Oreochromis niloticus: one gene and its partners. The protein of the gene in region 1 purifies or fractionates together with the protein of each later gene. This does not show direct contact. Links are inferred from orthologs where the notes say so. Each region holds a gene or a part of one and is shown on either strand. Other genes may lie near its edges.

Region 1 (7,946 bases):
AGTATTTCCCGATTCACTGAAACCATGTGTCCTCCAAAAGATTCAAGATTCAAAGCGTTTATTGTCACGTTTCATTGCATTTCTCTGTGCAATAAAAGTCTTTCTCTGTACAAATAGATCAAATAAAAAAAGCATAAATAAATACAATTCAATAAAACTGAGGTAGATATCCATTTTTCTACTTGGTCTAATTCACTTTGTGGAGACAATCAAACAGCATAAAGAGTAGTTTAGCTGTTGGCCTTAAATAAAAACACGGCTTCTTTAGTGGAAACAGTATTTTATGGAGCCCATCAGCAAAAAGGGAACTGACTGATGTTAGCATCAGCGGGGAAAGTGACTCAGGTGGGATGCTTGCTGTGTTTTTGAGCTCATGAACACCCTGAGCTCTGTGAAACATTCTAATGTTAATAAATCAGAAGATAACATGTGAGTTTATTACGCAGTTTCAGTTCTGAAATAAATGACTTTTTGAAGTTACAGTGAGCCAAGTGTCATAACTTACACAGACTTGTCGCTCTATCCTTCAGGCCTGGGTCCTCGACCACATACAGAAAAGTTTGAGACCACATGAAAAATGACAAGATCCTGTTTTGCATGGTTGGATCTTAACAAGGTTCCAGGTCGAGCTTGAACATGCAACGAGAAGGAATGTTACTGAGACAAAACATTTTGCTGAGCGTGCACTTTATTGAAAACAACGTTTAAACTGAAACAGGCTGTTTTACTGGACCACACCTCCAAAAACCCTGTAACCCCCCCAAAAGGAAATCAAAGGTCCAAACGTGAACTCAGTAAAGAGCTCCACCGTTATTGTTGATCACTTCAAAAATTCATTGGAGCATGTTTGATCCAAGCATTTCCATGAAACAGTATATGTATATAAACTGTATATTTTTGTATGTACTGTATGTATAATCATGTCAAATCCTTCACTGGGCGAGCATCTGGCCACATGTTTGGGCACGTATCCAGCTGAACAAAAGTCTGAGGGTAAGGTTTGTTTAGCACGATAAGACGAGATTGCAGACGGACTCAAACCTATAAATGCTGAGTGTTTCTGCTGCAAGCATCAGTCTCACTGAGTCCTCTGAAACCATGCTCCGCCTCAGCAGCACGCTCTGTGAGTAGAGTCAGCATTTTTTCATTCATGTTGTTTTCTAGCCGAAGAAGATTTCTTCGGTTCATATATTTCAGGGTAAAGTGTCACGTTTTCATATTTGGCCACATTATAAATTCAGAGTGCTGCTTCTTTGTTTTTCAGTGTTGGCAGCAGCCTGTCTGCTTGTTAGCACAGGTAAGTGTCTGCTAGTCTGATTGTTTCTCAGTGTGCTTAGATTTAATATGTGTGTTAGACTAATAGCTCCATGTGTGCTTTAAAGGTGCGCAGAGAGTCATCACGTGTGGGAACCACGTCCACCGTCTGAGCTGTGGTAAGACCCAACCACTGCTCATGTTTCTCAGCGCTGCAGTGTTTCTACCACATTATTAACACAAACATGTTGTTATTTATTTATTGGGGATGATCATCGAACACGAATCACGTCATAGACACACAGTGAGGTATCACGAGAGCAGAAACACTCAGGACCGACTTTAAACCATGAATACAAAACTCCACATGCTGATATCCAACAGAAGGTTTACACCACAGTGTCCTATTCCTGCAGTTTTTATTCAAATAGGTCATTTTCACATCTTTTCAGCTGCCTTAGAAAAAGTGTCCATACAGAGTGCCACAGTAGTCGTATAGAGCCAGGAGCCACACACGGTGGTGCATTACCCCCCCACTCTGAGGATAGGCAGGAGAGAATGGACGGGTGGATTTTAAAACCTGTGAAGTGTTTCAGCAAACATACGTCACACCGTCATTCACCGCCTGGAGGAACCTCCACACAACAAGTCGGCCATTGCTTCAAAAATAAATAAGTGACACACATTAGTGTAATATAATCATCACTAAGATTTGGAAAACACGCCTGTTTCTTTAAGGGATCCTTGATTTGGTTCTATGAATACAGAGTGTGTAAGACAGGAATGACATTTGGGTTGGGGAAACATACAAAGCAGCAAGTGAGTAAAATAAGACTCTGTGAGTCTGACGGCAGCTGCAGACGTTCCTGGTTGGTAAGCTCCGTCGTTGTGTTTGAATACCTGCCTCTGTGACGTCCAACAGAAACCGGAGTGATTCGTGTCCAGGAGTCCATGTATGGACGTAGAGACCGGGACACGTGCAGTGGAGAGAAAGCTGAAGAGGTGGCCATCAATACTGCGTGCTCTCTGGAGGGCGCTGAAGACATCATCAGGACCAGGTATACGTCCCAATAAGACACCAGTATTTGTTATTAATGAATGTCACTGCTGCTGATCACCACATATAGATATGGTCCTGTAGAATAACAGGGGATGAAATGTGCTGTGTATTGTATGTATAGTGTGAAACTTCAGTGATGTGAGAGATCATGTTAAAGACGAGAATGCTTTTTGAAAAATGAGTATAAAAGAATCAGAGTGCCTTCTTTCATGGATAGTGATCGTGGAGTAAGAAATGCCAGGTTACCAGATCCAGTGCAAAGCTGGGACTGTGGGCCTTTTGCCTGAGACAAAACAGATGATTTAACTTATTAACTTTGATGAAGTTTGTGGGGAATTCCTTTTACCTTACAAAAACCCCATAATCATGTAGAACCCAATGAAAGACTGTTCTTCTCAGCTTAGGTGGGATTTCCCATGGTGCTTCACTGCTGACTCTACTTTTTATTATCTGTTCAGCTGTGATGGCAAGAAGGTGTGTGAAGTAACCCCGGCCATCTTTGCAAGAGATCCCTGCAATGACACCTTTAAATATATCCAGACCACCTACACCTGTATACCAGCAAGTGAGTCACACACCTGCTTTAAACAGTAAAGCTTCACTCAAGCTCCGAGTGCTCCACCTAATCTGACCCGAGTGCTCCACCTAATCTGACCCGAGTGCTCCACCTAATCTGACTGATGTTACTTTGGCAGTTCACCTGATAATCTGCGAGCAGTCTATGGTCGAACTGCAGTGCGGTAAGATCACGTGTGACCCGACAAACTTTAACGTGTGCTGATAACTGCCTCTCCAAGCACCCTTCTTCAGTTTTCAACAGCACGCACTGCTTTCTTTGACAGACCAGGGCCATGTCATCCACGTCTACCATGCTGATTTTGGGCGCCGTGATCCACACATATGCTCTGTCAGACGGGAGGCCTCACACATGGAAAACATCAAGTGTTCAAACCCCACTGGCAAAGTTGCTGAAAGGTACAGCTTTAACATTAATGTGATATTTTACTTTGAGTGACCAACGAGATCTTAAACATGACTATGAAGTCTTTGGTCTTTGGCACTCTCCTCTCATCTTGTAGCCAACGACACATATTTCTGAAGCTAGCAGAGCTGAAAGTATGATTTGGGTGAGCTGGGACGTGCAACCATCACTTTGTGAACAACTTTGTGTTCACAGCGTTTGCTGTCCCCACACAGCCAGGGGTTATAGCCTGGGTTTGATCAGTGTTATTAATCAGCAGTATTCATTTGGATTTATGTAATTAGTGTTGTACATCATTCCTACACATCGTCTAGTATGAGATAAACAACAAACAAACGTGTCTTTAATTTGCTTTGTCAGCTGGGGATCTTTACTCCCTACCTTTAAGTGTTTCATCTGCTCTGTGCTGCTCTGCATCCACAGGTGTAATGGGAAACGCACCTGTTCTATGAGAGCAAGCAGTGGAATGCTTGGCGACACCTGTCCTCATATGTATAAATACCTGGAGCTGACTTACAACTGTCTGAGTAAGTAGCTCAAAGGATGAAGAGTATGTGAACGGTACATGACACAAGGGGAAGAAAAACCAGCAGCAGAGCCAAACAGGTGCTCAGTGATCCACCTGTGATGTCAACAATAACAGGCTGCTTTATTTAGCTTCATTCTTCACTTGAAGTGTAACTGTTACAGTGAACAGCCAACCACATCTGATTGTGTGTGTTTGATCTTTTGCAGAATCTGTAGGTGCTTGAGAGGATTAAAGATCCTGCAGTAACAGTATCCTTCACTAAATAAAATACATGAAAAACAACATGTTTTTGTGTGTTTGGGACTCATCAGTGTTTTCATGTGTACTGTCATCTATATGGACCATTCACTCACTGGGCCCACATCCTCATTTAAGGGCGAGAACAAACAGCTTGTAGAACTGGGGGAAAGTATATAGATGAGAACCGGAGGGGGCGTGTTTGGAGGTGTGGTCCCGCTCCTGAAATTCAGATACTTTATCTCCAATTTGTATTCATACTGATCGCTCAGGTCAGAGGCTACAAGAGGATCAAAGTGAAGAAATGAAATGACATTTAATCTTTAGTGCAGCAACATGACATTTATAAAAATACTAGTTTTCCTTAGAAGGAGAAATTATTTCTATTTACACACAAAAACCAAAAATGATCGGGGTCAATAAAAGTTGACCTCTTTTGAGCTATGGCACAATGAAACTGCTGCTGAGCAATGATGTGCTTTAATGTTCAAAGCACGTCAATCAAGTTCAAACTACAAAAGAAACAGACGGGAGAAAAAGAAACGATTCTCACAAAGCAGGTTTGATACAAACTGATCACAGTGTGTCAGCAACTGGAGTGAAACTCAAAGAGAACCACACAGAGCAAGTCTGGGAGATGTGTCTGAAGACCCCAGAGGTGCCAAGAGACCCGAGGACCTCAGTCAGTAAGTGCATTAAACAGCATTTTGAATACAACTAAAAATCAAACAATATCTTTTTCACTGAAAATCAACAAAGTCCGTTGTCCTGTGTTTGACTAATATCACATAATATCCTCATCTGTAGATTGAACTCACCAAAGCTCATATTGACCCTGTTATATCTCATCAGTTTTGTTCATATCTTTATCTTTAAGAATTGTTACGTCTCTTTAGTCTCCATCAGGTAATATCTGATTACTGTCATCTATCAGCTAATAATTTGATTTTCTAAAAGCAGTAAAGATCTGGATGTGGGCCAGGGCCAACTGCTCTTTAGTTAACTGTCCAGGCAGTGAATCCTGGTGTCAGACCTCACTAATTATTATTATTAGTAGTAAATTACTGACCCATGCAATTAACTCAGGGTGAACATCTTCATAGTCAACCTCTCTGGAGCTGCAACCTCAGCTTCTCACTCCTCACAGGTTTGGATTTTCATTTCTCTGATCACTCTGATGCCATAGGCTGGCAAAACTACCAGAGTTGTTACTTTATCCAAATAATTATGGAGCTAACTGTGAAACAGTGAACTACATGATTAATAACTCGTGAATCCTCCATCTATTGTTCACTGCTGGTCTGGGTGCCCGGATGTCTCTCTCCTCAGCTGCAGCCTCCAGCTCTTCTGGGGGACATCGAGGTGTCCCTAAACTAGCCACGAAACAATCTCCCCAGCGTGTCCTGGGTTTGGCCCAGTCTGCCCTCCTTATCTGGGAGGTGTTGAAGCGGTATCCTAATTCAGACGGCTGACCGGTCTGAGCGGGCTCCTCCCGGTGAGCAGGGGCAGTGTCCTGCCTTTCAGCCTCTCCAGAAGGACCATCTGTTCTGGTTTTTGATGCACAAACACAACAGCTTCCCCTCTGGGCTCAGGACCGACCATTACAGCAGGTCACTCTTTAGGCTGACCACGAGTGTCACTTTACACACTTCATGCATTATAACATTTTTGCCAATTAACCACCAGGGGGCGCTTAACACCATCTTAACATGACTGGTTATGCTGATGTCGGGTTTTTTCTGTTTGCCGGTGTACAGAGGTTGTCCTTACCTGGTGTGTACACGGGTCGCGTGATATTGACCACAGTGTTAATGAACGCATACATTTAATGCGATTGTTTATTTTAATATATCGTAGAAACCTGCTGTAACGCTGGGAGATGATAAGAACATATTAGAGTATTAGTTACAATATTACAGGATCATTTCTATGAGGATAAAACTGCATAAAAAGCGAACAGGAGTCATGAACCCGACCGCACACTGTCCGTGTCCTTTCAGATTATTAGCACGCTGTTTGCCGGGACAGCCGGGAAGCCCCGGTAGGTGAACAGGTGATTTTAGATTACGGTAACCATAGTGAGCCGAAAGAAAGCCCGTCAAGCGTGACTACACTCCGAGCTCGACCGATGACAGGTGAAGAGTTTTCCGTTTCAAAATAAGAGCGCTACTGTAAACCTTGCGCGACAGCTTTTATTCTGAAAGCCGGGGCCGGAAACACCACCGTTATTCACGCCACCTTACAAACTTCCCCAAAGTCTCTAATGTTACCTTAACGACAGAAAGTTTGAAGCGGCTCCGCTCGGGTTTGTTTTCAGCGCACTGGGCGTAGAGGTCCTCTGTTATCGGCGAGTGGAAACCGCTTTCTATCCACGTATCACACAGCGAGCGTGGGCCTGTTCACGTAGACACGGAGGAGCTGATCCACACTGTACGATGCATATGCTAGCGTCAAACGGATCCATAATGGACCTGAACTCGGAGTTTGTGAAGATTAAAGCGCACTACTGCGGGTAAGTAACGCTCCGTGGGTAAGTGGGAAGCACCTGTGGAATGGACACGAACAGCTATTCAGCACGTAGCCTGGCCTTCTTGGAGCTCCTGAGTCAGAGGGGCTTTAGTACCTGTGGCACCTGTGTTTAACCCACTCTGTGGGGTGCGTGAAAAATGACTTCAGAGGAAGCTTCGAGAATATTTTTCACCCTCGCGTAAAGTCAACGTTTGTGTTGATGATGGGGCACATGTGCAGTGGAAGTGGGCTGATTAGTCATCTTACACTGTGGAATCTAACGATGCTGTAGGATCGAAATCACCTCATCACACAGGAACAGTGTTTGTATGAACGAGGCAAGTTTATTATCGTGGAAGCAGCACAACGTAAGAACCAGTCCGTGTACCGTCACCATGACAGAACACGGAGATTACACGTCATGTTACTGTATGTCACATCTGGTATCGAGTCCACAGTGAAAATCTCATGTATATCTGATGAAGCCTGAGTGTAACCTGATACTGAAACACATGTGTGGTTCTCCGTGTGGGACAAACTGGACATGTTTGCGGTGTGACCGTTTTGTGTCCGTGGATGACTGGAGGTCACGTCACAGACGGGCTCTTCAACGAAAACTCAAAAGCTTTGCAGGATCTTTAGATTGAACTCACCAAAGATCATGTTGATCAAATTACATCTGGAGGAGGAGTTTGTTAAAGCATACGGCCTGAAAATGCCCCAAATGCTGCCAAAATGACACTAAAAAATAAATAAAATAAAATAAATAATCGCTGTCTGTCCCTAATGGTAAATGGCCTGTATTTGTATAGCGCTTTACTAGTCCCTAAGGACCCCAAAGCGCTTTACACATCCAGTCATCCACCCATTCACACACACATTCACACACGCATTCACACACTGGTGATGGCAAGCTACATTGTAGCCACAGCCACTAATTTCTCTAGCACGGTAATGAAGCACGGGGTTGAGCATTATATTCCCACGGTCGGGCCCCCGGTGTTCGCGCGCGCGCGCCGCCTCGACCCCGCGAAACTTTCCGTCACTTGGGAAGAGTTTGCAGCCATGGAGCGCCTTGGCATTGTACAGCGCTCGAACAGCGCATGGGCCTCTCCGCTTCACATGGTGCCCAAATCGGACGGTCGGTGGCGGCCATGCGGAGATTTCCGCCGTTTATATAATGCCACGGAGAATGACCGTTACCCCATCCCCACATTCAAGATTTTTCTGCCAATCTCGCCGGAACCTCGATTTTTTTCTAAAATTGACTTGGTGCGGGGGTATCACCAGGTCCCCGTGCGCGCCGAAGACGTTCCTTAAACCGCTGTCATTACCCCCTTCGGTTTGTTCGAGTTTTTGCGCATGCCTTTTGGCCT
Region 2 (7,153 bases), on another chromosome or scaffold:
GAACACCGCCGTCACTCCTCAAACTTCCCCCCGTTTCTTAACAACTAGATGCCACGTTGCCATATCATTTTTTGATTGGTCGACACGGTACTTTTTTTGACCAATAGGAAAGGGTGGGGGGTTTTTTGGTTTTGTTTTTGCTCACAGGCGGAGAGTGCTTTCGAGCGTTTTCCTTATAAAACGCCATTTTTACCGTTTCTTCCCGCAGTAAATATAAATAACGATAGTATTCAGGAAGAAAACCAAACATTGCATATATTTTTATCATAACTCTGGTTTTACATGGCCTATCAACACAATTTAAAAACTGGTATAAAGTCCACACTTTTCCCGTCAGTTGTTCCGTCTGTCCTGCTCACATCTCCAATGGTTGGACACGTTGTCATTAACGGTGATGGGAATAACGCCGTTACTTTTTTCAGTAACGAGTAATCTAACTAATTACTATTCCTATCGTTACAACGCCGTTACCGTTACTAACAAGAAAATGCGGTCCGTTACTATTTTTCAACAAACAGATGGTTGAAGCTGTGTTCAGCTTACCGCATCTTATATCAGTTGCACGGAAGTAGCTGTAAGTAATCTGGACGCTACAGCTTTAAGCAGCTGTGCGCGCTCCCGCGGACGGTAATCACGATCACTGTCTAGCACAACACCTGGAGCTAAGGGGGCAAAACAATGGCATGAGTGCTGCTGTTTGACTGAGGAAGAATAAAGTAGTCGTGGTAAGCCAATCACATGACCACTTAAAGACAAAGCAACAAGGTGATATATACCAGTTTATAAATTGTGTTGATAGGCCACGTAAAACCAGAGTCATGATAAAAAAAAGATATACGCAGCGTTTTTTTCCTGAATAGTTTCGCCACGTTAGCGCTCTCTGCTTATGAGCAAAAAAACAAAACAGGGGAAGTTTTAGGAGTGACGGAGGGAGAGAGAGAGAGAGAGACAGCAGAAAAAGAGAGAGTGCGAGTTTTGAGATGTGAGAGATTTGTGATGTTTAGCGTGTTTGGAGTGTGTAGTTAATGTGTTGTCTTGTGTAGTTAGTGTGTAGTGTTGTGGATAGTTTTGTGTTGTGTGTCAGAACAATGAGGCGACTGCTGTCTCCAGGTAGAAACAGGAGTGATACACCTGCTGCTGTCAGACCTGCAGGTATCAGGCTGTGATGTTCTCCTTTATAGTGGACAGAAATTATTTTTTTGGAGTGGCACAAACAATTTGTGTGGCATCTTATTGAATGCACATCAGCCACGCCGCTTTGCTAGCTAAAACACCGGTGTCGGCACATAAGGACGCTGTCATAGCCTGTTAGTGACGTTGATTGGCTGCGTATATACGAATGTGAATCGCATTATTGGCTGGACTAAAGGATAAGGTGGCATCGTTCTAATCCCATACAGGAGCAGCCAGTCACTCACTGACTAACACTGCAAAACAGAATTGTTAAAGTTTTAATTTTAATTTCAATTCAGGTTAGATTTTTTTTTGTGCGCAACGCAGATTTTCTGTGCGCAGAGACCGTGCCAGCAGTGCGCAATTGCGCACGTGCGCAGCTTAGAGGGAACATTGGTTTCCACACCACTGAAGTCGTTTTACCTCTCTTTTCAGCCAACGGCATTCTTTCTTCAGCAGCCATTATCCTCTCCTCTCCAAATAACTTCTGCTTAGCTTTCCGAGCTTCCCTCGGATCCTCTTGTGACGCGTGTTCGAAACGCAGAGAGGTGCGCTCGATTTGCCACACGGAGCAGCGCGAGAGTAAAGCACGAGGGAGGTGCTAATAATCGGCTCAGTCATTTTTAATGATCGTTGAAAACCCAGATCGTAATCGAGATTAAAATTCGATTAATTGAGCAGCCCTAGACAGTAAGTTTGTAAGTTTGACACCCCTGGTTTAGAGGCACTGAAATAATCAGGTGACACTGCTTTCTCCACTAAGCTTCTTCATTGTCACTTGGTTATTGTTAGTGGATTAGGGGATTAGAAAAACCAGAGGGCTATAATATTGTTCATGTTAGGATCAACCTAATTAGATCGTTATGGTTACTTAAGTTGGATACCTACGCTGGTTAGAGTTCAAAGTTTGGGATTTGTATGGATTCTTAAAGGCAACGCACTTTCATAAATTTACCTGGTGACATTCTGTCTGAAATGTATATATTCTTAGCTGAGATTAGTCAGGTTCTTAAGTATTTGAACAATGATAATTTTTGGAATTACATTCTGAACACTAGAGTACTAAAAATGGAGACCATGTATAAAAATGGCCGTATTCCATAACAGTTAAGTCAATATTTTTGTTAAAGCCCTTGAATTAAAGCTGAGTGCTTGCACGTCTTCAATCACGCCTGTGTTCCTTGATTTAAAGGGACCACGGTGATGTACAGACAAAAATCACCCCAAAAAACCCCAGGTCCATACGTTTTTCGAAAATGTCATACATTCTGAATATCATATAGTGATGCCATGGTTTCTGCTTTCGCTAAGATCAGATTGATGGATCCTTACTTTGCAATGCTGATGCTAAACATTATTTTTTATTGACTGCATTTTTTAGGACAAGCATTGGTTTCTCATATCAGCATTTTTTGTCTGTCAAAGTATGCACATTCACAACAACTGAAAATAAAAAAGGCGATAAATAGAGGCAGGATTTGAATGAGAGAAAAATAGAGAATTACTGTAAATTTAGAAGGGTTCCATCCAAAGTCTAAGGAAAATGGAAACACAGCGGTCCTTTGGACTCCAAATAAGGTCATTTCTACCTGTGAAAATCTGTTGTAGCCTTGAGCTGCACCTATCTGTATACTATTGCTCTGCCATGATACAGTTACACAGAAAAAATGAGAGAAAAGGAAACTAATATATAAATTTAAAGTAAACAGCTTATTTGATCTTGTTCTGGTTACTTTTATTTTCTGTTTCTGCTAAGTAACCTGGTCACTTGAATGCATATTATGACTGCAGATAGTTCAGAGTCTTGTGAATGTTTTTTTTCTTCTTCTTCTCCTCATCACTCACATTGCCATCTGTAGTGATGTGGTTGAAATTGTGTGATATGGTCTAATTTACTTGCCTTATTAAACGCAAAGAGTTCCTGTTTTAGCCGATCCCTCTGGGACTCTTGACCATGCCGCCTGAACCTCTTCATCCTGTCAATACCGGCGTGCAGCCAGAAGGCCCGTTGACACTTGGTGGCTGGAGGAGACACAGGAGATAGAGGTAGATGATCCAGCTCGAAAGTAAAAGTTTGAGAGAGGAGAAAAGAGGGCATGTTCAAAGATAAATCCTCTAGTTCACACCTTTGTTATTCCTTAGTGAAAAGCAAATACAGGGAGTGTAGAATTATTAGGCAAGTTGTATTTTTGAGGAATAATTTTATTATTGAACAACAACCATGTTCTCAATGAACCCAAAAAACTCATTAATATCAAAGCTGAATGTTTTTGGAAGTAGTTTTTAGTTTGTTTTTAGTTTTAGCTATTTTAGGGGGATATCTGTGTGTGCAGGTGACTATTACTGTGCATAATTATTAGGCAACTTAACAAAAAACAAATATATACCCATTGCAATTATTTATTTTTACCAGTGAAACCAATATAACATCTCCACATTCACAAATATACATTTCTGACATTCAAAAACAAAACAAAAACAAATCAGCGACCAATATAGCCACCTTTCTTTGCAAGGACACTCAAAAGCCTGCCATCCATGGATTCTGTCAGTGTTTTGATCTGTTCACCATCAACATTGCGTGCAGCAGCAACCACAGCCTCCCAGACACTGTTCAGAGAGGTGTACTGTTTTCCCTCCTTGTAAATCTCACATTTGATGATGGACCACAGGTTCTCAATGGGGTTCAGATCAGGTGAACAAGGAGGCCATGTCATTAGTTTTTCTTCTTTTATACCCTTTCTTGCCAGCCACGCTGTGGAGTACTTGGACGCGTGTGATGGAGCATTGTCCTGCATGAAAATCATGTTTTTCTTGAAGGATGCAGACTTCTTCCTGTACCACTGCTTGAAGAAGGTGTCTTCCAGAAACTGGCAGTAGGACTGGGAGTTGAGCTTGACTCCATCCTCAACCCGAAAAGGCCCCACAAGCTCATCTTTGATGATACCAGCCCAAACCAGTACTCCACCTCCACCTTGCTGGCGTCTGAGTCGGACTGGAGCTCTCTGCCCTTTACCAATCCAGCCACAGGCCCATCCATCTGGCCCATCAAGACTCACTCTCATTTCATCAGTCCATAAAACCTTAGAAAAATCAGTCTTGAGATATTTCTTGGCCCAGTCTTGACGTTTCAGCTTGTGTGTCTTGTTCAGTGGTGGTCGTCTTTCAGCCTTTCTTACCTTGGCCATGTCTCTGAGTATTGCACACCTTGTGCTTTTGGGCACTCCAGTGATGTTGCAGCTCTGAAATATGGCCAAACTGGTGGCAAGTGGCATCTTGGCAGCTGCACGCTTGACTTTTCTCAGTTCATGGGCAGTTATTTTGCGCCTTGGTTTTTCCACACACTTCTTGCGACCCTGTTGACTATTTTGAATGAAACGCTTGATTGTTCGATGATCACGCTTCAGAAGCTTTGCAATTTTAAGACTGCTGCATCCCTCTGCAAGATATCTCACTATTTTTGACTTTTCTGAGCCTGTCAAGTCCTTCTTTTGACCCATTTTGCCAAAGGAAAGGAAGTTGCCTAATAATTATGCACACCTGATATAGGGTGTTGATGTCATTAGACCACACCCCTTCTCATTACAGAGATGCACATCACCTAATACGCTTAATTGGTAGTAGGCTTTCGAGCCTATACAGCTTGGAGTAAGACAACATGCATGAAGAGGATGATGTGGACAAAATACTCATTTGCCTAATAATTCTGCACTCCCTGTATTGATATCCTACTATTTAACACAATCAAAACCTGTCTTCTTCCATAAGCATGTTCTCCAGCCACAATTCAGAGATGAATCACACCATCAGATACATGGCTTTATTAATCAGTCCAGTTGCCTTCCAAAAAGTACAGTGTCTCTCATGTTTTTTCTTGCACCAATACACAAGTAGCAGTATAAGGGTTACTAGGAGGAAAAAGGGTTACTAGCAGTACCAAAACATTAGCTTCACTAATGTCTATAGAAACCTTCCATCCATCCATTCGCTTCCGCTTATCTTTTTCAGGGTCGCGGGGGGCGCTGGAGCCTATCCCAGCTGTCATAGGGCAAGAGGCGGGGTACACCCTGGACAGGTCGCCAGTCTGTCGCAGGGCCAACACACAGGGACAGACAACCATTCACACTCACATTCACTCGCACATTCACACCTAGTGACAATTTCGATTATCCAATTAACCTATCCCCTCAAACTATAGAAACTCTATAGAAACCTGTTAAACAAAATACACGAGACCTGGGTGTCATAAGGCCCCTGGCTACATATTTGGTTGTCTGTGACTACCCTGCTTGAAGTCACTGGGAAATTAGGATTCAAATGTAAATGTATTCATCATTTGTCCCACTTCAGCCATCAAACATTCTTCTCCATCTGAGATTTTCTGTGAAATCATAATACAACTGCTATTTAATGTAGATGCTGTGTGTTAGAAGTGGTTTTTCACACAAACTTTCCTGCTAACTTCTGCCTACACAATTCGGTCAAGAAAAAAAAGCAAAAAGCACGAGATTATCAAAACTCCGTTAAGGCTTCAAAATGTAAACAAAGCTAAAAGACACTGACTTAATTGATAAGTCTTCCTTTATTTCAGCATAGTGAAAATGTACTGCATTTTGTGGTCATATATGGTTTCTCTGTCACCATTTGCTAGGCTAGGTAGAGCACATACTGCCAAAACAAGACGACAACAAGAAACAAGAAAACAATCCTTCTGCTGGGGGATTTTAATTTCCATGTCGATGACAGTTCATGCCATGCCGCTCCTGACTTTCTTAATCTCTTAGACCCAAAATATGACTGGGCCAACACACAGTTGTGGCCACACCCTGGATCTCATTCTGTCACTGGGTCTGGATATCGGACCAGTCCGTCATGAGGACATTTTTATTAGCCATCAACAATATCTTTTCTTTAATCTCTCCTTTATCTATGACACTATGCCCTCTGTTAATGTGAAGCATTCACATCTAATTACTGACTCTGTGGTGGAAGAATTTGTGGAATTGTTTGATAATAATCTAATCTACCTGAAATGGATGATATGAAATGGCATGTGGCCTCCTGCAATTCACAATGTCTAAAAATTCTAGATAAAGTAGCTCCTCTTAAAATCAGAAAAGGCAGCTCTGTTAAATCCCGCCCTGGATCACAGGGCCACTTATTTCTCCAAACTACTCGCAGTAGGAAAAAGAAATCCTAAGGTTCTCTTCGATTCAATGAATAGCAACGTCTCTCCTCCAACTCCGTGCACACCAGTCTTCTCAGATATGGATTGCAATGACTTTTTAAGCTTTTCCAAGATAAGATCAGTGAGGTAAGAGGAAATATAACCCCCTTAAATAGCCTCTTCAACCATGATCTCCCACAAACCATAATTATGGAATCTTTTCACCCACTTTCTTTAAATATCTATCTGAAATACTAACTCAAATGAAACCCTCAACGAGTCCAGCAGATGTCTTACCTACTTCTCTGTTTCTTAAAGTTTTTGACACCATTGGGCTCTCTGTGGTCACATTGATAAATTGTTCCCCGCTATCTGGCTCTGTCCACAGGTGCTTTAAACAGGGGGTTATTCAACCTCTGCTGAAAAAGCCTAACCTGGATCCGACACTACAGACAAGCTACAGACCCATCTCAAAACTTCCTTTCATTTCTAAAATATTAGAAAAAGCCATTTGGTCACAAGTAAAGAAGACACTGGAGAAGCATAATGTTCTTGATAACTTTCAATCACGTTTTAGAAAGTTACACTCCACAGAAACAGCTCTCCTTAAAGTCACAAATTACCTTTCGATGGCCGCGGACAGACGCGATTGCTCAGTCCTTGTTCTACTAGACCAGGGGTCGGCAACCTGCGACCCCTGGTCTAGTAGAACTAAAGAGCATGCGGCTCTTTAGTCCTTATACTGTGGCTCCACGTGGTTTGGGCAAATAAATTAGAAGTATTTAGCTGAAGTGTATTTTATTTATGTTAGTT
Region 3 (7,437 bases), on another chromosome or scaffold:
CAAATGATGAACGCACAGAGATGTGGTGCAGAATATGCCGTGAAAATCCCACTCTAGCGGACAAAAACAGTGCCTTTTATATGTACGCAAACGCGCGTTGCAACTTCTTATCTGGTGCGCGTCTTTTATTTTGACAGCAAATGTGCACATGCTGACCACTTATGTGCACCCCTGGTTATTTGGCATACGATTATTAAAAAGGGAGTGCACCTAAAGGCCATGTTTGCTTCTGCTTAACAAATTATTTAGACATTTTTTTTGGTTTAAAGAAAGTAATCACATAACAAAAATGCCTGCTCAAATGTTCAACTGCGCCCAAAGACACTCAAAAGCTACTTTTGGGGGCTTCCTTAATCACAAAAAGGTCACCGCAGCGACCAGTTGCATGCGTTTGACTTGGGAGATTTTTTTTTTTTCCCTCCTGTTGCAACCAAAGAAGCGATTTGCGTCTCCGTCTGCAATTGAACCGGCATCTTTCTCCTATCAGAGGTAGTTTCGAGTCATACAAAAACTCCACGTACTGAGAGAGAACTCCATGTTTAATAAAGTGGCTGTAGGAACCAACAGTAACTATTACAACTTTACAGTAACTACGTAGAGGAAATGAAAACCTGTTTGTCACGGCACAAGTTTACACAACTATATAAAAACAAAACAAATGTGAATGCGAGGATGATTCGAGTCTGTAAATAAGTCGTTTGGCTTTGGATATTTCTTGTTTCTTTATTGTTATGGAAACATATCTGTATCTAATGAGAAGGCAGGAAGCCTGTATAAATTTTAGTGTGTATTTTTTTGTTTTGTTCGCGTTTACATGAGAAGGTAAGTCTTGTTGAGTGTTACACAATTTATGAGTCCCAAACCTCATCAATGGGTCTTGTTTATGTTTTATAACTTTTATTTCATTTCATATTCTGTGTATTACTTAAAAATTTAACTACTGTTACTCATTAAAGTAAAGTATTAGGTTACATTTACAGCACGCTTTTAGTGCCAGTGTTGGCAGTCAGGAAAATCTCATTCTACAGGAAAGAAAGAGCAAGATAACTTTATCTTATTGGATAAAACAAACACTGACAAAGTTTAACTTTGAGGACATAATCTGCAGTTTGAAAATGATGATAGATTGCATTACATATTACTGCAACACTCAGAACATTGCAAAATGTTTAAAACTGCAATAATATTGTAATGCGACCAAAGTATTGTGAGGATATCGTATCTTTATTTACTACTAAATGATGAACTGAATTACGTGTAGCTGATCCTGCTCCTCTGTGCCTTCAGAGGCCCAGACTGTGGCAGAGCTATGTAACAGATAAGATTTCCCTTTACAGGTATTCAAATGTCCTCAACTGTCAGTGTGCTTTAAAAGACCCACAACAGTCACTTTCTCTCCAAATCATCAGCTTTCTTTCATCAACACGCTTAATTTCTTCACTGAGGGAGATGAGGGAACATGAGGGAACATGAGGGAAGGGTGTTAGAGCTCCCAACACACCCCAAACGGATCAAAACAAAACACAACCTGACGAAGTAGAACAAAATGTGAAACTGCTTAAAGTGACGTGACGGAGAGGGATGAGTCACATCTGATCCAAAAGTGGAAACGTGTGACGTCGTGGCATGACGGTGTGCCGTGGTGACGCCGTGGACCTGTCTGTTCTAGCCACAGAGCTCCTGGCGTGCCAGTCCCACCCACAAACAATCTGCGGCAGCCACGGAGTGACCACTCCTGTCTCTGTGGAACAAACCCTGCAGCAAAAAAAAGGCAAAACAACAAAAAGAACAAAAAACCCACCTACACACACACAAACACTACTCCCCTTTTTTGGCCGTTTCTGTGTAAGTACATGCTCACCCACCTGTCACCATCAGAGCATCTGTGCTCCATCTGTCCACCACCCCACTGAAACTGGGCGGCCAAAAGGTGGAAACAACTCAGGAGTGAATGAGTCACCTTTTGCACCACTTGCCCATCTCTCCCTTTAACCCTCAGGTGTGAACACATGCGAATACTCACAAATAAATAAATCAGAAACACTGGATTAGAATGCAGGTCACCAGCAATCATTGTGGGGTTCACAAGTGATGAGTGTCAGCTGGTAGTTCTTCACAGAGCCCACACAAACTGTCACTTGTGTAATAAAAAAACAAAACAAAAATAAAACTCTTCCTCTACAGTATAAACTTAAATAAGAACCGCATAGCTCATGTGGATGTATTGTGTACGTGTTGAGATGAAAAGCTTCATAAATCAGGGCACTCCATTGAGACATAACACTTGAAATCTTGGCAATCCACTTGATGTTTGTGTGTCCATTAGTCTGTCAGCGTTTAAAAAAATGATCCAAAACAAAGAGCTAGGCTGATACTGTGTAGCAAGACAAAAACTCAGTGCAACTAATGCAACGTCTGATTTTAACAGGTGGAAACTTTGTTGCTGTAGGAAATCTGGAGAACTAGGTGCTTCAAAAACAACCCCGTTACCCACCTACCCAGCCCCCCTCCATCAACCACCCACAGCAGCATCGGGATAGAAAAAGTCAAATCAGCACAATCTGGATCGGAAGTAAGAAGCAAACAATCACTGCAAATGAGAGAAACATCCAGAACCTGTAACTTTCCCCGCACAACTCACGGGGAAAAAAGCGGAAATAGTTATGTGGCGTAGGCTGCACACCGTCCGACCAACTCCGGCTCCGTGACGGGACAGCCATGTGAACATTTATCATTATTATTATTATTTTAATCCCCCCGAATCCTATCCACCAACGCCACCACCAAGCAGGGCTTTCAAGTTTCCACTCACCTTGCTTTTCACTTCCACAGCGTTGCAGTTAGGATTTCGCAGAGGTTGCGACTTATTAAAGCTCCGATTCATTTTTTTCCCGTTTGAAGGAAAAAAAAAAAAAGAAAAAAAAAAGTTCAGCCGCCTTTGCCCACAGAGAGAGGGGCTCTGGTCCCGGGCTTTCTGCTCTAAAAAATTCTCCCTGTTCGCTTCTTCCACAGAACTTGGTGTTTCTTTCACCTCCCCGACTTCTTTTTTCTTTTCTCAGTGCGCTCCGACAGACATGAGGGAGGACTTCACGAGAGAGCAGGAGGTGTGCGACTCGCCGCGTTGACTTGAGGAGTGTGAGTTAAGTTTTGAAAATGACATCAGCCCTCTTAAAAAAAACGGGATTCTGGGATGCATTCACGTACCGCACGAAATCCCCAACTCCCTCAGGCGGGATCTCTTTGTATCCTTACTGTAGTCAGTAAAGGCTGAGTAAATAACAGCTACTACTGATGATGGATTAAGGTTTAAGAATGTATGCTATCGCAAAACAAACAAACAAAACACACACAAATATTTATAACAATGACAACTTGATATGTATTATGTCCTGTTAATAAAATGATCATATTAAATCAGCCGTGTTTAGTCGTCTTTTGATGCATATGAAGCAAAAATGAAGCAAAAATAATTAAACTAAAATATATATTTTTTTTAAATCTCAAAAGTAGGCAGACTTCCTCTAACCCCGCCCTGTCCAATTTATAGCCTAATATATTCAGAGTAAAAAAAAAAAGAGTGGTCTTTCCGGTTAGTTGGTGTATTTCCAGGATCTGTGAAGGCAGCACTGCGCACGCTGGACCTCCGAGACACCAGAGGACGCGATTTTCTAAGCATTTTTAAAAACGGTCTGTATTTAAATGATTGAATTCATTGATCCCAACAAGGTGGTGTAAGCCTACAAACCCTGTGGTGTGGAACATATATCTTTTAATATAAAAAAATCCCCCAACAACAACATAAATTGGGTTTAAGAGTTCAGTTTACAATCATTACCTCTGTAAGTGAAGGTGAAGCGTGAGCCACTGGGAACTCAAACACATAAAAACACCATAGTGTGAAGAAAACAGCCACATATCTTTATATTTAACCATCTGCTGTAGCCTGCTCAACTTTTCAGATACATAACAGGTGAAGATTTACTTGTATTTTTACATTGTCTTCATAATATGGAGTTAAATGTGGCCTATGATACCATTAAGTCTTATTTTTGTGATCTTTTACAGACCATAAAACCATCTTTTTATCCAGGTTACACAGGATTTGTAACAAGACCTGCCACCCAACTTGGGTGGCCAAGAGGAAGCTATTCTTCTGTCAGCAGAGAGCTTCAAAGTGCACCAGGTAAACATCTCTAATTGGCCCTGGAACGTGATAATCTCACACCCCCTCCTTTGTGAGGTATAGGCATCCAGAGCCATTCAACCTGAACCAAAAACCTCACAGCGTAAGAACCAGCTGATCGGGAATATTCATTTTCAGCTGGGTTAATTAGCATCCATGACCGCAATCCTGCTTGACAGCATTCCTGGGCCCCTGAAGCTGGCTGTGCACAACAGCTGCAGGCTGCATGCCCCCCCGTCCACACACACACACACACACACACACACACACACACACACACACACACACCCTCTCAGTAGCTGAAAGTGCTGCTGGTTTACTCTCTTCAGGAATGTGTTGACTGCTTACAAACAGAACCCAAACCCAGGTTTCACTGCGATCCTGCAGCACAGACACTGCAGTGCTCCTTATGTGACTGCATGCAGGGATAGTTACGCTGTAGTAGATTTAGTGTGTAAATGTTTATCAACTGTAGTCAGAACTACATCTGATGGGTGCCCGCAATCAAGTTAGGACTTATTAGCATGAAAAAGAAGAGACGGTGATTTTTGTGTGTTTCTGCAACATCTGATGCTCGTCATATTTGCTGGTAGTTAATAATTAATGAAATATTGTAAGGTGAATGAGGTGGTGCTCTATATAACTAGCGTTAAGAAAACGAGTAGTTAAGCTTATTGCGCCCACTAACGGCCGATGTGTGGTATTGTTTTAATGACTTTAACAGTGCAACAGTTACAGCGTGACTTAGTCAGTGTGCTTTAGTAAATTCAAAAATCTGCATATGTTTTAACTGAATTATGGTGGAAAAATACTGACCTTCCTCTACATAAAGTTAAATCTTTTACATTTTTCACCATCTGGGCCTGAATCATCACAGGTGATTGCCATAAACCTACCATAAGGAAAGATGGATAGATGTTTTTGTTGTGTGTCAATCAGAAGAATTAATTCCAATGTTCCCTGGTTGCCAAAACTTGGAAGAACGTCCATCCATTTCCATAATTAGCATCTGAATCAGAATACTTTAATAACCTCAGAGGAAATTATGTGGTCACAGTTGATCCAATAGGAACTAACTAAACTAAATAGAATAATACAATATATTACAGAATATAACAAAATCGCTCTAATAAATACAAATAGCTCTAATCATAAATATCCCTGTATATTACACGAAATTACATATATATGGGTGACACTGAGGTGCCCCTTTTGTTATATTAATTGTAACTTTTCTTTGTAGAGGATGTGATATTAAGGGTGTGCAACTATTGCAGTGTGTACTTGTGTAGATGGAGGAGTTGTACAGAGTGATGGCCATAGGAAGAAATGACTTCCTGTGTCATTCAGTGGTGCATTTGGGTAACGCGCTCCTGTGACTGACCAACACATCATGGAGTCGATGAGAGTTTATTGTCCAGTATTGTATCTATCTTGGACAACAACCACCTCTCTGACACCACCTTGAGTCCAGCTCCATCCCTACAATGCTACTGGTCTTACGGATCAATTTATTGAGTCTGTTGTCATCCACGACACTCAACCTGCTGCTCCGGCATGCAACCGCTGGTGTCCTAGGGAAAAAAGCAGAGCACATCTTGGTCAGGTTGCTGATCTGCTGCAGGGCGCTTGGAAGAACGATCTAACACGAGTAAAAATGACACGGTCTGAAGGTTTAGGGATGTTGTCTTGCCACGAACTATTGTGGATGCTGTCAGTGAAGGTAGGTTTTCAGTTTTTCTGTTTGTCATCAACATTACACAAAAAGTAAATGTCATGAAACTTCATTGAGCAGTAGTGGAGCATGGGCAAAGGAAGATCTCACTAAATTTTAGTGTTGGCCCACATTGCCTCTTTAAAACTGCAGTATAGTGTATTGGCGTTGGCAGGGGAACCCCCTTTTAGTTTTCTGTGCAACTAAAGTATCTTGGCTTGAAGATATTTATTTTCTTCTTGTCTCAAAAGCCAGGCAATCAATTAGGAGAGAAAGAGACAAAGGGGGATGCACATCTACTTTAATCAGCTATCTTGCAGCAAAGCCATTTACATGATTTTTCTTTTTCTGTAGATGGTGGGGCAACATCCAGACTTTCTTTTAAATATAAAACTTTATGCAACATCAAAGAGAATGAATGGGTTTTTTTAAAACATAGATTTTCATCTCACATCTTCAATGATTTTACAAGAATACTGTATTTGTCATCAAGGAAACAAAACAAAGCCATAACTCATAAAGAAGCTTCAATCACTAGTATGTTCTTTGAAATGGAAGTTATAAGGCTTTCATGATCAATGAGGATTACAAGGCAAACATATAAATTTACTCTGGACGTGAATAAAAATAAAATAAAACCACATCAAAGGCGCTGACTACACACAAGTAATCAATCAGCTCGATACAGACAAAACCAACTAGGATGTTGGCTGAGCAAAGCCATCCAATACTCTATTCAGAATGAGTCTAAATCTATTATAGTTATCTCAAAACACGACAAGGGGGTCTGCCACTGCTTTGGGACTGATCAGCAGTGAGATGAGTCTATATACCAACAAACAGCAGTGTCCAGAGGCCCCGAGCCACCCCTTATTTCTTGATATTTTGCTGGAAAAATAGGAAATATGTGCCGTGATTTATTTAAACAAGTGTACATGGAAATATAGTGTATAAGTGGAAAACAGACTTTGTATTCTAACAAGCTTGGAAGTCAATATTTGGTATTCCCAACTTTATTCTTCACCACAGCCTGAACTTTTTTTGACAGGCTTTCTAGTAATTTCTTTAATAAATCTCCAGGAATAGTTATCCAGGCTTCTTGAAGGACATTCAAAGTTCTTCTTTGGATTTTGGGTGTCATCTGTTATGTCTCTTGTCAAGATGATCCCACACTGCTTCAATAATGTTGAGCTCTGGGGAGGCCAATCCATGGTTGATAGTGTTGTATTGTGTGTTTTTCTATCCAGGTGTGTTTTTATGGCATTGGCAGTGTGTTTTGGATCATTGTCATGCTGAAAAATGAAACTGTTACCAACCAGACACTTGAAATGCAGCACCAAATGATGACAGAGCCTCCACCATGTTTTAGAGATGGTTGCAGACCTCTCTCCTGACGTCCTTGATACATAATGACAATGATTTGAATCAAAAATATAAAATTTGGATTAATTATTCCGTAAGACCTGTTGCCACTGATTAACAGAACGCAGTTCATCTCACTGATTCATGTCAGTGATAAGTGGCTTGGAATGTTTTGGAA
Region 4 (7,621 bases), on another chromosome or scaffold:
TCAAACGTATCGATGGACCACCGAGTGCTTTAGTCTTACTCTACCCTCACACCTCGAACTCTCCCAGAATGTGCACTGAAGTTAATTACATTTGACAAAGCCTTGGAGGTCTTCCAGGAACTTGATGTACTCTTGATGCTCGATGGCCGTGCTCAGCTCCATGAGTTCATCGGCGAAGGTGTTGTCGACCCCACGGTCAGCCAGGAAGTCCATCAGATGGTCATACAGGGCCTGAGAAACAGTACCAGTAAGTAAGCAACCTTGAGCACAGCGCCACTTTCAGTGACCGTTATAATTGAGCTGTTGCTGTGTGTACTGCCTCGGCTCTCACCCAGTCCAAAGAGTCTGTGTTGAGTGTGTAGCTCGTCTCCTTCCACTCTGAATCTCCCTGTGGCTGAAAACTGACCTCTCGAATGGCAAAGATGTCGCTCTCCTCTTCTCCCTCACCGTGGCTTATCTACGAAATACAAATGCCTCATATTCATTTCACTATTGCGCACACTACTGCTGCTATCGGCAATATTAGACATTCGTTTTATTTGACTTTACCTCATCTTCAGGGAAATGGCAGTCGAACACCAGGGAATGTTTTGCAGCCTGCTTTGTCACTTCAACAACAAAGTTGGGTGTTGATACAATCTCCGGCTGCAAAAAAGGGGTAAAAAGCTTAATACACAAAATGTTGAGGTTAAAAACTTCAGTGTGTAAGCCAGTAGCCGCCTACGGTGCTGTGCAAGCCACCCTCGTTTCTTTAAGTGTTGTTAGGAAATTAGCAAATGGAGGAGCCGTTTATTGAAATGAGTGCAGACATATAAGAAAACAGTAAACAAATATGAAAACAGTGTATAAGACAAACTTAAGAGTTCATGCAGTTCTAACGAGTCTGAAAGTCAATATTTCGTCTTTATTCTTCAACTCAGCTTTTATCGCGTTTGACAAGCACGCTAACAGAGATGTTTTCCATCTCTTGGACTAACAAAATGCAGCCTCCACTGTGCTTTGCAGATGGTCGTAGCCTCTGTTTTCCCTCTCCTGACCTTTTCTGTACATACTATGATTTGAAAGGAAACCTTCACATTTAGATTCCTCACCAACGATCAATGGCTTCTTGAGAGGCAGCCTTTCACTGAGAACATTTCTGATGAGGTCTCAGTCACAGTAGATAAATGAACATCTCTTGTGTTCTCTGTCAAATCTTTGCTCTATTTTTTCATCCATTTCTTAAGGATTCAGCTTTCAGATACTCTTCATCTGCTGTAGATAGTTTAGGGCAGGGGTGTCCAACTCCAGGCCTCGAGAGCCAGTGATCCATCACAGCTGATTTAAATGGCTAAATGACCTCCTCAACATGTCTTGAAGTTCTCCAGAGGCCTGGTAATGAACTAATCATTTGATGCAGGATGATATCTAACACCTGCAGGACACCAGCCCTCGAGGCCTGGAGTTGGACACCCCTGGTTTAGGCCTACCACTTTTTGTCCAGTTTCCTCAGATTTTCTTAAAAGGCCATGTTGCACAACGTGCTGCAATGACAGCTCTTTGGGAATCAAAGTACAATGTTTAACCTGTCAAACTGTGTCCAACCATCGTTGGCGTATTTTTCACAGTTTCTACTAAAGAAATGTGAATAAATGTTTTTGTGACAGGCTGCTAGCAACAAAGAGCTTAAAGATACAATTTTAAGTTCTTTTCTAAATTGTCTGTTATGTGTAGACAACACTGATTCGTCCCTTGAGGGATATCTTTCCTAGGTGTCTTTGGTTATGCTTGAATAGTGTCTTCCAACCACTAGCTGTGCCTCACCTCCTCTTCTGCTGATTTCTGCTGTGTCTGTTCCACTTCTTCCTCAAAGTTGGGAGGAATGCTGTTGTTGATGTTGAATGTGACCGCGATTCTGTGAAGAGCAGAAATACCGTGAGCTTGTTTCACATGCCACACCGGCCACGTTTATCCAATCATTTTGGCAGACTTACTTTTCTCCAGAAACACTTCTTGTGAGTTTAGCCTCTGTGCCATTCATCTCCAGCTCCCATCCTCCCGACACCTTAGGAAGACTTTTGTTTTTCTGGATCTTCTTCTCTTCTTTGATTTCATCAGACAGGAAGTCACCAAAAGCTTTGTCACCTGAACAGAGAGTTTATGATTTCATCATGAGACGTGATGCACAGTTTGTTTAAAGGTTTACTTCTGACAATAAAATGAAAAACAAGGCTGATTCTAACATTTTACACAAAACACGAGTGCTTGTCAGTGCGCCCCAGGGTGGCTGTGGCTACAGTGTAGCTTGCCATCACCAGTGTGTGAATGTGTGTGTGAATGGGTGGATGACTGGATATGTAAAGCGCTTTGGGGTCCTTAGGGACTAGTAAAGCGCTATATAAATACAGGCCATTTACCAATACTTGTAAGACTGCTGAAAATGAAAGAAATCTGTTTTGTGGCTGTCTAAAGATGTCTCGTTGGATATTATGAACAGTCCTAGACGTGTCACGTGTGCTGAATGATCAAAGGCTATTGGCAGGTTTCAGAGCCTTTTTCAGTGACAACCACTAATCACAGTTTAAGGTGAAAGACTCCTTACAGTCTGAAGATGCTGATATGAACTCAGTCTATAACGATCGTTAAACATCTTTTTTTATCCCTTTAAACTGTAAAGGACGTGTTGGTTCTGGCAATACGAGTTGTCTGATCCATCTAATGTTAAGTTTATTGGTCTCGTAAGCTGGCTGGCTTGTTTAAAGGAGTTTACACCAAACGTCACCTTCTGTGTGCAGTCCTCCACATCCACACGACATCGACGGACTCAACACCTTGGAGCTGAAGAGTTTGGGCCTGTATCCAGACGAGGCTCCGTTATTATTTAGCATCCAGAGAGACCGGGTGAAGGGCCGAGTTACTGCCGAACTCGGAGAGCGCAGTGCCGGGTAGCTGAGGGGCAGAACTCGCGCTGCGGAGGTGCTGGCTGAAGAAAGGCGAGCAGCTGCTCCCACCGCACGGACGACTGACTTTAGCATGATTGTACAAAAACACCTGTCACGACAGAATAAATGAGTTCCGTGCCGCACAGCTCACTGTGAACACCGGTTACCGACGCTGCTTCTAGAAGACGCTGACAGCACGTGTGGAAGGACACATTGACCCAGATACTCTTTGCCCCGGAAGTAATACTCTAAAAGCGAAAGACACGAAATAGCAATTTTAAATTCTACATCAAAAACTACACCGAATACGACAAAATATTATAATAGAAAAAATAAATAAGATATAACCTAATTAAAGTTATTTGGAAAAATTACGTGTGTGTTGTAAATGATTGTCTACACATCAGCGCCCCCTGTAGTTCAAATCAGCGATAGCAGACCGGCGCTGCTATCTGTTTAAATTGGGGTTTTTCATGTCGTTTGTTCTGCGGAGCTTTTTACAGTGTGGCTACAAATCTGAAACACCGCGGACTTTAATAATACCTTTGCCTTCACGCTGTGACACTAAAACAGAAACTCTTAAAAATACATATGTAAGGAGATTAAAGTGCAAAAATATCTGTGTGCAGGGGCCCGATTTAATAGGACTTTGCTCCAGAGTTAAACCCCGTTTTGGCTTAAAAACTGTCAGGATTTAATAAAAAATCCCAGCCTCAGTTCTTTTACTGAAAAGCTTGGAGGGGTTTCTTTTGATTGGTGTACCGTAGTGCATTTGTACTGTATTTTCAGAGCGTGTGTGTGTGTACAGACATGATCGACTGAGGCCCCTAACGACGGGGTTGCATCAGTCAAAGTAAAACATCGACACTTCGGTGCAATGAGGCTGATCAGTTGCATCATGTGAATCCCTCCCGCCAGCAGATGGAGCTGCTTTCCAGTCTATGTGAGCCTGTCTATAATTAAACGGCAGCAGGGGAGATCCTGTTTTTCTGAATTGACTAAATGAACATAGTCAAACGTTTTGAGACACTTCTCATTTCTGTTTTGCTACTAAAATGGGAAATAAGTCCATTGATTCATTGAAACATAAACGCAAATACATGAGGCAAAAACAGAGTTTGAGCAATTCTAATGAGCTTGAAAGTCTGAAATATTTGGTATGAACACTTTTATTCTTCAGCACAGCCTAAACTCTCTTAGACAAGTCTTGTCATTTCTTTGAGTAGTCTTCAGGAAGAGTCGTCCAGTTGCGTGCTTTTCTGTCCAGGTCTACTTTTACTGCATTGGTAGAGTGTTTGTGACCAATATCATGCTAAATAACAAACAAACTGCTCTTCAGATAGTATGGTGGGTCAAAATCATAACTCCATCATAACACAAGAGCCCCTGGCGGAAATGTCAGTTTTGGCATTTTCCGTTGATTCAAATAAAGAAATGGGAGCAAATGATATAGTAACATAGCGCCTAAAGATATGACATGTTGTATGTGTAGACAACACTGGCTTCTCCCCCGGAGTTATGCAAAGTGCTGGCTGTGTTAAGAGACTTGAATGATAATTTTTTTTAAAAACCCAGAATGTTCCTTTGAAAATGTTCAGGACTGAAAATGAGTGAAAAAGCATCCAGCATCCAAAGAAGAAGAGCTTAGTCTGGAGAACTATTGCTCCAAAGCTCTTAAAGAATTCCAAAGGTCATCTACTTGGAAGCAAAATGTTTTTAAAAATGAGGTGGCTCAAGACTTTCGCACAGTCCTTAAACCATGCTATGGCCATAACACAATAATACTAAACACGTTAGAACTGCGACTGACTTGTGCCGACTCAGGTGGATTTGTTTTTATTAGAATATGTAACAAACATGGGCATGTATTAGGATCAGATGATCCACGCTCATAGATGAGCCCTGGCAGGCGTGCATTCGTTACAATAAACTTCATGCAGATCAGAAATGGCTCAACTTTTGATAATTCTCTAAAGCATTCAGCGTTTGACTACAAAGTTAGAAACTGTATACTTTATTCAGGTTATATTTTACAGTCCTGAGTCCAATGTGTAAAAAAAAGACAAGAGGACGCTCCATCATCAACACAACGTCATTTACATTCTACAAAGCGTGACGGAGCCGAGTGATCAGATCGCTGAACAGATTCTCCGTGCACTGCACATGTCTGCTGTTAGCAGGTACGTCTGGCAACTGTGTGGGGATCTGCGCGACAAACAGCAATGAGCAGAACCTGGAGAGGAAGGCATGCTACTTCTCCTGACGTGCGTGTATTTGGGGAAGAGACGGTGACATGACTGCAGATGGGAAAAGGAGCATGCACGAGCTAACGAGGCTAGTGCTGTATAAGTGAAACCATGTCAGTGTGACACACTGCATTTGTTTTTCATGTTTTCTTGTGAATAAGGGAACAGCTGAAAGTAGAGTAAAACAAATCTACTTTGATTGCATAAAGAAACCCCTGTAAGACCACTTCATGTAAACCCAAAACAATCAGAGTGCTTTTCTTAGCTTCGGAAAAGCTCATATTTTGGACTCGCAGCCACTAATCCGTCTGCTGGAGCGTTTTGATGGCTATTTGGTAGCAATGAAGAAGAACAACATGGTGGAAAACAGCCCCATGCTGTGCTCCTCTGAGGTTACCTGTGCTGTATAAATGCATGCAACTACTGAAAGAATCAAAGCAAGACACTTCAAAGCAAACTGGCTTTTCAGGCCAACCGTGTGGCTAAATGATGACAAGAAGAAATTACAGCTCGTAAAATCGGAATGACAGTCCAGAGGAAGTCAAACTTCGATATGCAGACTTCTGCTTCAGTGACAGATGCCCAATGCTTGTCAACTGGGAGGTAGTGAAATCCAGAGTAGTTTACGACACAGCAAACGTTCTGCACCAACTTGCAATAAGTGTGTTTGTGGCAGGTGGCCTGTTTCTTTGTTGGTTAGCTCTTGTTGAGGTGGAGCTTGCGGCCAAAGTACTCGGGCGCTGCATCCAGCAGCCAGTCGGCATCGACCAAACAGAGGTCTCTCATGTAGCAGCGGGAGGTGTGCAGCAGCTCGTTGAAGACTACGTATGCCGGCTTGGCCTGGAAAAGGACGGAGGACGGGTGGATGGCCACGGGCTGGTGGGTGTCTAGAGCCAAGTAGCTGCCATCGGGCTGCAGCTCTGCAGCGTTGACAAACATCCCGTGGGCAAGGCAGCGGCGAACGCTCGCCGTGTCTGCTCCACACGATTCCAGTTTCAGGTTCAGCTGGGAAAACAACAAGACGTGACTTAGTACACAGGTCGCATGAGTTCACCGCAGAGATGCACAAAGACAGGTGTGCAGCATCGATCAAAGCAGGAAAACACTCATTCATCAACCGGCACTCGCTGTTTTCAAAATAGCCCTGAGGCGTTAGCCTGTGTGATGATGCACATTCATAATAATACTGACACTGTCAGAATTTACACATTGTGTTCACTTTACTTTCAAAAGCATGGATATTATTCTCTAATGAGCTGCATTAAATGTTAATAAATCCTCTGTAGTTGATCAGGATAATCAGCGATTCCTGGGAGAATCCCTCTGTGCTAGCAGAGGTTAGCAGATGTGTACCTTAAGGCAGATTTCTTTAAGTTGTGCCTGGACTTCTTTCACTAGACCCATGTTCCTGCTGTTGACAAAGTTCTCCCGACACCACTCCTACAACAGCAGAGATCACGTGACAGCTCAGCAGCATGATTTCATTTATGTATTTTCATTAGTTGTGTTCATCGTACCCACCTTGTTACCGCTGACTTTCTTGAACGCTCTGTAAATGTTTAGCAGTGTCATGTGGTCTCCTTCACTGGACATGAACTTCTTGCGCACTGCAAGCACGTCGTCCCGCCGGGCCGGAGGGTTGTACAGCACGGTGTCCACAGACAGCAGCGACACGATGCTCAAAATCTCCTCAGAACACGAGTAGTCCGGGGACAGCAGGATGGTCTGCGGTGTGGAGCAAACAGAGGGGTTATCTGCTTGTGAGCCGACACTTTGTCTTTGCTAAAAAAAAAAAGATCAGAGCAGAACCAGCAGGATTTACTTTGGCATATCTGGGCTCCAGAGGGAAGCTCGCCATCTTCTTTCCCAGAGTGGTGAGGAAAACCTGCCCGTCCTTCTTTTCCACAGCTCCCAACAGCTCCAAATGATCCACAGCAGAACGGATGGCCTCTGGTGTAAAATACAAAGCACTACTACAGCTAACTCTGCATCGCGTACCGGAGGACCAGAGGTAAATCCTGACTGACAGCATCTTACCTGGAGAAGGTTTGGACATGAAATCAAAATTTGTCACGTCTGGAATCCCCAGAGCCATGAGCTGCAGCATCACACCTGCCAAGTTACACCTGAGGGTAAGAAGCATCACACAGAGCTGACTCAATGAGACATGTAAGGTGGATTTTTACTATCACACGTGTAAAGCAGACTCCACAGCCTACCTCTGAATCTCAGGAACAGTCATCGGGATGAGGTTGTCAAATTCCTGCTCGGTGTAGAGACGATAGCAGAAGCCAGAGTCCTCCCTGCCAGCCCGGCCTGCTCGCTGCCACGCCTGCGCTTTGGAAACGCGCTGCACTGCCAACACCTCCAGGCCGCTGTCTGAGAGTCACATCGTGTGCACTGTTAGGAGAACTGACGCAACAAAAAGCACCTCTTATCTGTGCTGTTCAATTT

What was found.
Region 2: the proteins of prkcz (region 1) and llgl2 purify together in Homo sapiens (affinity purification with mass spectrometry; 7 studies listed by BioGRID and IntAct, counting the BioPlex papers as one, with this or other methods). This does not show direct contact. The link is inferred for Oreochromis niloticus from reciprocal best matches to the Homo sapiens genes PRKCZ and LLGL2.
Region 3: the proteins of prkcz (region 1) and pard6gb purify together in Homo sapiens (affinity purification with mass spectrometry; 6 studies listed by BioGRID and IntAct, counting the BioPlex papers as one, with this or other methods). This does not show direct contact. The link is inferred for Oreochromis niloticus from reciprocal best matches to the Homo sapiens genes PRKCZ and PARD6G.
Region 4: the proteins of prkcz (region 1) and c1qbp purify together in Homo sapiens (affinity purification with mass spectrometry; 5 studies listed by BioGRID and IntAct, with this or other methods). This does not show direct contact. The link is inferred for Oreochromis niloticus from reciprocal best matches to the Homo sapiens genes PRKCZ and C1QBP.

The regions. Positions count from the first base shown.
Region 1 is NC_031984.2:33,855,043-33,862,988, forward strand, and holds the start of prkcz (protein kinase C zeta type), read left to right. Parts: upstream 1-4,778; 5' UTR 4,779-6,497; coding exon 6,498-6,574; intron 6,575-7,946. Other genes in the region: L-rhamnose-binding lectin SML, read left to right, coding at 1,048-1,123, 1,265-1,297, 1,383-1,433, 2,177-2,312, 2,773-2,879, 3,010-3,054, 3,157-3,289, 3,720-3,823 and 1 more. UniProt on the Homo sapiens protein: Calcium- and diacylglycerol-independent serine/threonine-protein kinase that functions in phosphatidylinositol 3-kinase (PI3K) pathway and mitogen-activated protein (MAP) kinase cascade, and is involved in NF-kappa-B activation, mitogenic signaling, cell proliferation, cell polarity, inflammatory response and maintenance of long-term potentiation (LTP).
Region 2 is NC_031973.2:27,096,540-27,103,692, forward strand, and holds the start of llgl2 (LLGL scribble cell polarity complex component 2), read right to left. Parts: upstream 3,149-7,153; coding exon 3,074-3,148; intron 1-3,073. UniProt on the Homo sapiens protein: Part of a complex with GPSM2/LGN, PRKCI/aPKC and PARD6B/Par-6, which may ensure the correct organization and orientation of bipolar spindles for normal cell division.
Region 3 is NC_031985.2:20,080,717-20,088,153, forward strand, and holds the start of pard6gb (par-6 family cell polarity regulator gamma b), read right to left. Parts: upstream 3,166-7,437; 5' UTR 2,885-3,165; coding exon 2,813-2,884; intron 1-2,812. UniProt on the Homo sapiens protein: Adapter protein involved in asymmetrical cell division and cell polarization processes. May play a role in the formation of epithelial tight junctions. The PARD6-PARD3 complex links GTP-bound Rho small GTPases to atypical protein kinase C proteins.
Region 4 is NC_031975.2:990,569-998,189, forward strand, and holds the start of c1qbp (complement component 1 Q subcomponent-binding protein, mitochondrial), read right to left. Parts: upstream 3,162-7,621; 5' UTR 3,015-3,161; coding exon 2,762-3,014; intron 2,125-2,761; coding exon 1,974-2,124; intron 1,895-1,973; coding exon 1,804-1,894; intron 646-1,803; coding exon 550-645; intron 458-549; coding exon 332-457; intron 232-331; coding exon 82-231; 3' UTR 1-81. Other genes in the region: ATP-dependent RNA helicase DHX33, read right to left, coding at 5,864-6,172, 6,521-6,607, 6,689-6,892, 6,990-7,117, 7,205-7,293, 7,387-7,546.